Linked DNA regions of Macaca fascicularis. The protein of the gene in region 2 interacts with the protein of the main gene of each other region in a pairwise test. Links are inferred from orthologs where the notes say so. Each region holds a gene or a part of one and is shown on either strand. Other genes may lie near its edges.

Evidence for each region.
Region 1: the proteins of PPFIA1 (region 2) and PTPRF interact in a two-hybrid assay, tested with the Homo sapiens proteins (2 studies listed by BioGRID). The link is inferred for Macaca fascicularis from reciprocal best matches to the Homo sapiens genes PPFIA1 and PTPRF.

Annotation. Positions count from the first base shown.
Region 1 is NC_088375.1:191,242,152-191,246,805, reverse strand, and holds the start of PTPRF (receptor-type tyrosine-protein phosphatase F), read left to right. Parts: upstream 1-1,525; 5' UTR 1,526-1,681; coding exon of another isoform or gene 1,682-1,709; intron 1,710-4,654. UniProt on the Homo sapiens protein: Possible cell adhesion receptor. It possesses an intrinsic protein tyrosine phosphatase activity (PTPase) and dephosphorylates EPHA2 regulating its activity.
Region 2 is NC_088388.1:4,341,988-4,345,862, forward strand, and holds part of PPFIA1 (liprin-alpha-1), read right to left. Parts: intron 1,501-3,875; coding exon 1,354-1,500; intron 1-1,353. UniProt on the Homo sapiens protein: May regulate the disassembly of focal adhesions. May localize receptor-like tyrosine phosphatases type 2A at specific sites on the plasma membrane, possibly regulating their interaction with the extracellular environment and their association with substrates.

The sequences.
Region 1 (4,654 bases), on a different chromosome or scaffold from region 2:
CTCAGCCCAGATCCCTGAACATCACAGCAACCTTGCCCTGCACATTACCACGTGATCCCTGAATCCAGGCACCTCAACAATGTCCAAATTTTATTTCTCACCTGACTCCAAACTCAGGTGTTATACCAGAAACACCCCGCAGAAGAAACCCCACAGAGGAGAAATGTCATCTCTTCCTCTGCTCAGTTACCTGACCCAGGGCAGCGGGGGTAGGTTCCCCCAATCTTCATGGTGAAGCCTAGCAAGCAGTGGGGGAGAATGGGGGAGTGGGGGGTGGGGGGGGCGGGGCGGTAGATAGGAAAGAACTGGTGTGGCTTTGGCTGACTCTTCAGTAGTTGTAGCATGGATTGCATGGGGGCGGGGTCTGGAGGCAGGGGCTCTTGGGTTGAAGCTCATCAAATCCCTCTCATCAGTGGGTCTTGGAATAAATCTTCAGGTAGGTTGTTGGTTTCACCCAGACATTTCTAGGGTCATCATTTGAGTTTGATATGAGAAGTCAGAAACTCAATACTGAGATTTAAATTTGACTTAGAGGGCATTATCACGTCTTTAATTCCGAGGCCAATGTAAGGTTCACAGTTGGAATTGGTATAATATTGGGGTATTAGCCAGCCTCTGCTTGGGGTTGACACTAGGTCAGAGAAGTGGAGGGTGAGCATGAGGATGAAGGGGCTTTGTGTGGGGTTTCTGCAAAGCCAGTCTCATCTTGGATTCTAAGATTATTATTAAAGCTGGGTTGGTTTAGGGTCCTAAATGGTCTCAAGGTTGGGTGGGGTTTCAGGTCAGTATCTTTGTTTGGGGGTCCTTTTCTGGTGACTCAATCCCAACTCTGGAATTGAGAATCCCAATTCAGAGTGCATTGGTGTTGATCTGGGAATGGGAGAGCAGTACTGGAGTTTTATGTAAGGCTTGGGGTTCAGAAGAGAGAGAATTGGGGTCCATAGCAAGGTAGCTTTTGGACTTTAGGGTTCATTTAGGGACTGGGGGCTGAGCATTAGCACAGGGGTCCATTTAAGGTCCAGAGTTGGTGCTAACATCACTATCAAGGTTAGGGCAGGTAGAGTAATAAAGAGGTTTAGAGTCAGAATTGGTATTTGGGATCAGTACAGAGGTTCAGAACAAAATTCCTACTTGTGCTAATTTGGGGGCAGATTAAGGGCTTTGGATTCAATATTGGGTTTAGGGCAAGGTGTAGACTCAGTATCAGGTTCAGATCTGTATGGGGAGGAAATGCGGTCCTAGAATGGTATTAGGTTCATGCTAGGACTGGGAACCACTAGAAGGATCTGGATGTAGTATCAGAGTTTGGTCTGTCCATGTTCATTATTGGGGTTCGGGTTCAACATTGAGGTTCCGGTCGGTTTCGACTTGGCGTTGAGTTGTGGCCTCTCTGGGCCTCCGCGGCTCCGCGGCTCTACGAGCGAGAGTGCACGAGGGGAGGGGCGGCGCCGGGGGCGCGCACGGCAGGGGCAGGGGCGCGGGCGCGAGCGAGAGGGGAGCGCGCGGCTGGAGCTGGCGCGGGAGCGGCGGGAGCGGTGGCGGCGGCAGAGGCGGCGGCTCCAGCTCCGGCTCCGGCTCGGGCTCCGGCTCCAGCTCGGGTGGCGGTGGCGGGAGCGGGACCAGGTGGAGGCGGCGGCGGCAGAGGAGTGGGAGCAGCGGCCCCAGCGGCTTGCGGGGGGACATGCGGACCGACGGCCCCTGGATAGGCGGTGAGTGACCCCCAGGCCCCCCGCCAGCCCCCTCCGCGCCCGTCTCTTCCCCGTACTCCTTGCCCTCCCCGCTAGTCCACCCGGCGGAGCTGGGGGCGGTCCCGGGGGGACGAGGGCGCCGCTGAGGCCGGGCCGCGCCCCCACCTGCCGCGCCCGCAGCCTCGGCGAAGCCCCCCCCACGCCCCAGCCTGGCGGCTCCTCCCCGCTCACCCCGCGGCAGACGCGCCCCCAGCGCTGCCGGCTGGCTCGCTCCCCGCCGCCCCTCGCTGCCTCCCTCCCTCTCCGCCGCACCTTAGCCGCAGCCCGCCCCCCCCTTCCCCCGCCCAGCGCAAAGTTTCCCGTTTGCGCTCTTGCTCCCCCTCATCAGTCCCGCCTCGTCCCCCCTTCTAGCGCGGACGCGCTCCGGGGGCGGCCCTCAGACCCCTCAGCCCCCGGCTCCGGGCGGGTCCAGGCCGCGCCCCCGCCCCCGCCGCACAGGCGCCCCCTCCCAGCCGACGGGGGATCCGCAGCCGGCGCGCCCGGGTCTCGCTCGCGGCCCCGGCGCACGTGCAGTCCCGGGCTGCGCCGGGCGCGAGTTTGGAGCCCCCCACCCCCTTCGTTCGCGAGCACGGGTTGGGGAGGGGCTGAACGGGTTGTGCCCGCCCCCAACCGGGTGCAACGCCCTGGAGGCCCTGGAGCGACCTGTCCCATGAGGACGTGGCCACTCGGACCCGCTCCGAAAGTTCACTCAGCGGCTGCCCCGCGTCCTGTCCCGAGCCGTGCCGGCTCCCCATCGTCGTGCCCACGTCTCTGTCTCGGCTGCTTTCTGTTTTCCTTGGCGTCTTTGCCTCCCCGTGTCAGTGCCCCTGCAATCCCAGGGTCTCTCCGGCTGTCTCCGTTCTTTTTCCCCAGATCACATTGTTCTTTCTCCCCAGGTCTCTCCGTTCTGTCTCCCTGGGTCATCTTGTTCCCTGTTCCTGAGTCTCTCTGTTCTCTCCCCTTGGGTCTCTTCTGTTTCCTCTCCCTGGGTTCTGTCTCCCTCCTTAAGTGTCTCTCTGCCTCTTGTCTCTCACGCATCTCTTGGTGTCTCTGCACCCTCTGTGCTAGGCGCCCCCCCATTTCCCTGGAATGCTGCCCCTCTGGTTCTTCCACCTCGGAGGGGGAGGGGCTAGACTTTCTCCCCATTTCAAACCCCCCTGCCCCCCAGTGCAGGGCCCCTGAGTTGGAGCAGGTTGGGGGTGGGGAGCGCTACCTGCCTGAGCTGTGAAATGGGAGAGGGAGGCTGCCCCAGCCTGCGGGTTGTCTGGATCTCCCTGAGGGGCCACAGAGCAGGGCCGGGAGGCTGCATTAGGATGAGGAAGGCTCCACTTCTGAAGGAACAAGGGCAGAGATCCAGAGCGACCTGGTGCCAGATCTGGCCTGAGAACCAGGGAAGTGCACTGGGGTGAGAGGCGTAGAAAAGGATATGGGGTGTTGGTTCCAGGCGGGTGCTCATGGGGAGAGATCTGCTGAGAAGGGAAGATCTGATGGGGGATCCTTTGGGAGGCTTCGGGGATCTGAGGGATCCAGAAGAGAGTTCTGACAGGCTATCTAAGGAAATTTCTGTGCTTAGCGCCTTATTAACTCTTGCTTCAGGGAGCATGAAAATCCCTGTTTTTTACTGATTATATGAATGAGCCTAGGGCTCCGAGAAGGAGCAGGTGTAACTCCCCAAGTACAACCCCCTACATTCTCCGCCCCAGGCACAGGCCACAGTCTCTCCTACCCTCTTGCCTTCATTTCCACACTCAGCTCACCCCCCTCCACCCCCCCACACACTCCCTGTTCAGCTGCTTTCTTGACCCCACTCACAAACCTGGACCCGCATGCCGGCCAGTGCTCAAGCAATCTGTGCCTGCACACTCGCAGCACACCTGTGCACATGCACAGTCATCCTTGTGCATTTTTGTATATGCACTTTCTTGCACATTTTACTTGCTCAGTCTCCCTCATCATTTGAAGTGTCTGTATAGTGTTGTGTGTTTTTTTTTTTTAGTTTCTTTTTCCAACTGCTCTTCCTCTTCCCTCTTTCAACAAGAAAATTGTTTTAACATAATTCCTTCCTTTTTCCCTTTCTTCCTTCCTCTTGCAACTACTGATACCTCCCCTTTATCCAGCTTTGTGTGCCCTGTGCAGGTTGGCTTGGTGTACAGGGCTGCCGAGAGAGGAGGGGGTGGTTGGGTGCTGGTGAAGAAATTTGGCGGGGCAGAGTTATAGACTGCAGCAGACGTAAACTAGCAACACATCTTTTGTAGGTAATCGTATTGATATGCAGCAAAATACCAGCCCTGGCAATTTGGGCACAGTCCACCCTTTTTTCCATCAGCCCGAACTATGGGAGTCTAGCTTTAAGGATCCTCACTGGGGGCGGGGAGGAGGGGACCCAGACCTCCTGCAATAGAGGTTGTGATACATACCACGGCTCCTCCACTTTCCAGCTTCAGGCCTCAAAGAGGCCCCTTTCTCCCTGAGTCTCAATTTCACTCCCTGTAAAATGGGGCAGCTAATCCAACCCGGACTTGGTCCCAGGGCTGTTGTAAGAATCCAAGGGAACTGTGTGGCAGTGCATCATCAGCAGTGGCAGTCACTTCCCATGTGACTGACACTGCTGTGTGCTTGGTCCAAGCTTGCAGCCAGGGCCCTGCCCTCGAGAAGCTCGTGGTCCCTGGGGGAGCAGGTTGCACCATGAGAATGCAAAAGCAATTCAGTTACCTGTTATTGATTGCTGACTGTGTGCCAGACCCCGGGGTAGGCACTTTCAGCCCCGGCTGCCTTGCTTCCTTTGGGACTAACAGCTATGTAGAAGAGGCAGCCCACGCCTAAGGTTCAGGCATCTGCTCAACTAAAGCAGCTGCAGTTCTGAGTTGAGTTAGAACATTGGAAGAGTTCATCAAGAGACAGGGGAGAGTTCAGAGGTCAGGGTGAGA
Region 2 (3,875 bases):
ATGTGCCACCACACCTGGCTAATTTTTGTATTTTTAGTAGAGACAGGGCTTTGGCATGTTGGCCAGGCTGGTCGTGAACTCCTAACCTCAAGTGATCCAACTGCCTCAGCCTCCCAAAGTGGTGGGATTACACGTGTGTGCCACTGTGCCTGGCCTGGGTCAAATTTTCCTGTTGCCTGGAGTACATGCCCACTTTCCTGGGCTTCGTTTCAATGTGCAAAACACCTCTTGCCAAAGTATTTGCTCTTCCTAAATAACTTCTAAGAAACTTTTTTTTTTTGTTTAAAGACAGAGTCTCGCTCTGTCACCCAGGCTGGAGTACAGTGATACTCTTACAAGAGTAAGTATGGTTTAACGAAACCACAGGAGACACAATTTCTTACTATAGACTTCATTGCCTTTTTTTTTTTTGAGACGGAGTCTAGCTGTGTCGCCCAGGCTGGAGTGCAGTGGTGCAATCTTGGCTCACTGCAATCTCTGCCTCTCAGGTTCAAGCGATTCTCCTGCCTCAGCCTCCTGAGCAGCAGCTGGGATTACAGATGTGCATCACTATGCCCAGCTAATTTTTCTATTTTTAGTAGAGACAGGGTTTCACCATGTTAGTCAGGCTGGTCTCAAACTCCTGACCTCATGATCCGCCTGCCGTGGCCTCCCAAAGTGCTGGGATTACAGGCGTGAGCCACCGTGCCCAGCCGCATTTTTTATTTTAGACACGGGGTCTTGTTCTGTGGCCCAGGCTGGAGTCCAGTGGCACAATCATAGCACAGTGAAGCCTTGAACTCCAAGGCTCAAGTCATCCTCCCTCCTTAGCCTCTTGAGTAGCTAGGGCTAAAGGCACATTCCACCATGCCGAGCTAATTATTTATTTTTTTAATTTTCTGTAGAGACAGGGTCTTGCTATGTTGACCAGACTGTTCTCACATTCCTGGGCTCAAGTGATCTTCCCGCCTCAGCTTCCCAAAGTGTTAGAATGACAGGCATGAGCCACTGCGTCTGACCAAGACTTTATTTCTCATACCATTCATTTATCATAGTGCTCCCACTTAGTAACAAATAGCCAGTTGCCTTGAAGTTCTTTGCCACTCTCTCCTCCTTTGGTAAAAATGCTAAAAAGCAATAGATTAACTTTCAATTACAACAAAAGAAAAAATTGAGGACAAAATGGTTAAATCAAATCCTACGTTATCAAAACCTGTAAACTGAAGGAACTCCCACATATCTTGAACATAATATTCTAAGGTCATAAAAACTTGATATTTGGACTTGATTTCCAACATGAAAGTGAGAGAAAAAGGGTCTTTAATTTCATTAATAATTAACTGAAGCCAGACAAAGATCGATAAAATCCATTACCTGTCGATGCATAGAATCTTTATTTGCAATTTCATTTTCAAGTTTATCATTGAGGTCATGCACAGATGTGGCTTCACGCTGTGCAGCGAGGTAGCGTTTTTCAAGAGTAGTGATTCTCTCTTCCATGTCTTCCTTTTGGGCCATGGCCTAAATTAGTATTTCAGAGGGGACAAAAAAGTACGTAATTAACAGATTACACATTAAGATACTTAAGAGAGAAAAAAACTGAACTAAATCCCAAATTTCCAATCAAATTAAAAATTAGCATCTTCAGGCCAGATACAGCAGCTCACTCCTATAATCACAGTACATTGGGACGCTAAGATGGGAGGATGGCTTGAGGCCAGGAGTTCAAGACCTTGTCTCTACAAAAATATTGTATTTTATTTTTTGAGACACAGTCTCCCTCTATCACCTAGGCTGGAATGCTGTGGTGCAATCAGGGCTCACCACAGCCTTGACTTCCCAGGCTCAAGGGATCCTTCCACCTCAATCTTCCCAGTAGCTGGGACTACAAGCGCATACCACTATATCCACTAATTTTTAATTTTTTGTAGAGATAGAGGTCTTACTATGTCGCTCAGGCTGGTCTTGAATTTCTGGGCTCAAGAGATCCTCCTTGGCCTTCCTTTGGCCTCCCAAAGTGTTAGGATTACAGACGTGAGCCAGCATCCCTGGCCAAAAAAATTTTAAAGAAACAAAAATTAGCCACGCATGGTGGCATGCCCCTGTAGTCCCAGGTACTTGGGAGGCTGAGGCAGGAGGATTGCTCGAGTCCGGCAGTTCAAGGCTGCAGTGAGCTATGATGGCACCACTGCACTCCAGCCTGGGTAACAGAGAGAGATCCTGTCTCAAAAAAAAAAAAAAATAGTGTCCTCAAAATTAAATTGAAGACGACGTCAATTTTCTCAAATGTGAATGAAAATGTAACTACCTCAAATATCATATTCACCTATACGATTAACAAAGACTTGTCTCTCTTAATACTATGTCTAGCCACTCAGTTGACCAAGTTTTCCCATTTCTACATAATATTATAAACATATATACACTCAAATATCTAAATATTTTTCAAGGAGGTGAAAGTGACCTCAAAGACGACGCAGTCTGTGTCTGCCTCACGCTACAAATGGTCTTACACAGGACAGGGTGTGGCCTCTCTCAATGGATACAGTAGTGAGATACAAGTCTCACTTTCTAGGATAAGGGTTAGATGAAATCTCATACAATTACAAGATTCAGGCATATTGACAAATGGAAACAGAAGTACAAGTTCAATTTAATTGGACGCAACTACCTGAAGTCTGCAAGATGATTACTAAACAGTATCAAACACTTAAGGCTAGGACCAGAACTTTTTGCTTGTGAAATACCTGTCCTCCACCCCCAGAATTCACTATTTTCAAGTTGTTCCCTATTTATAAAATGACTAAGGTTAGCGAAGTGATAACTATTAAAAGTGACTACTAAAAGTCATAGGGGAAAAAAGCTCAACATCACTGATTAGAGAAATGCAAATCAAAACCACAATGACACAGGATCTCACACCAGTCAGAAAGGCTATTATGGAAAAGTCAGTAACAGATGCTGGTGAGGTTGTGGACAGAAAGGAATGTTTTCCTACTGTTGGTGGGAGTGTAAATTAGTTCAACCATTGTGGAAGGCAGTGTGGAGATTCCTCAAAGACCTAAAGATGGAAATACCAACCCAGAAATCTCATTACTGGGTATATACCCAAAGGAATATAAATCGTTCTATTATATAGACACATGTATGTGTATGTTCACTGTAGCACTATTCACAATAGCAAAGACATGGAATCAACCTAAATGCCCATCAATAGTGGACTGGATCAGGAAAATGTGGTACATATACAACATGGAATACTATGAAGCCATAAAACAGAATGAGATCATGTCCTTTGCAGAGACATGGATGGAGCTGGCGGCCACTATCTTTAGCAAACACAGGAACAGAAAAACAACATACCTCATGTTCTCACTTATAAGTGGGAGCTAAATGATGAGAACACAGGGACGCACAGAGGGGAACAACACACACTGGAGGGTAGGAGGAAGAAGAGGATCAGGAAAAATAACGAATGGGTACTAGGCTTGGTACCTGGATGATGAAATAATCTGTACAACAAACCCCCAGGACACAAGTTTACCTACGTAACAGACCTAAGCATGTACCCCAAACTTAAAAGTTAAAATAAAAAATAAAAAATAAAAGTGATAGGTCTTAAAAGAATTTCAAAATTCTCAGCATGTTAATCTCTGCCACATAATCTCCCGCTATAGCCAAAGAATAGAACCTAGCAGGTGATACAGCACACACACATGCTCTTCCTGTGGCGAATTCCTACATGAAATTACTCATGCCAAACTATCACACTGAAAAGCAGACGTTCCACGGTTGAGGCGCCTGACAAGGGACAAAGCGCAGGTTAGAAAGTGACAGGAAGGGCACCTGAGAAAGAACTCAGCCTCACTGTTCCATGATCAAATAGTTTCTCATAG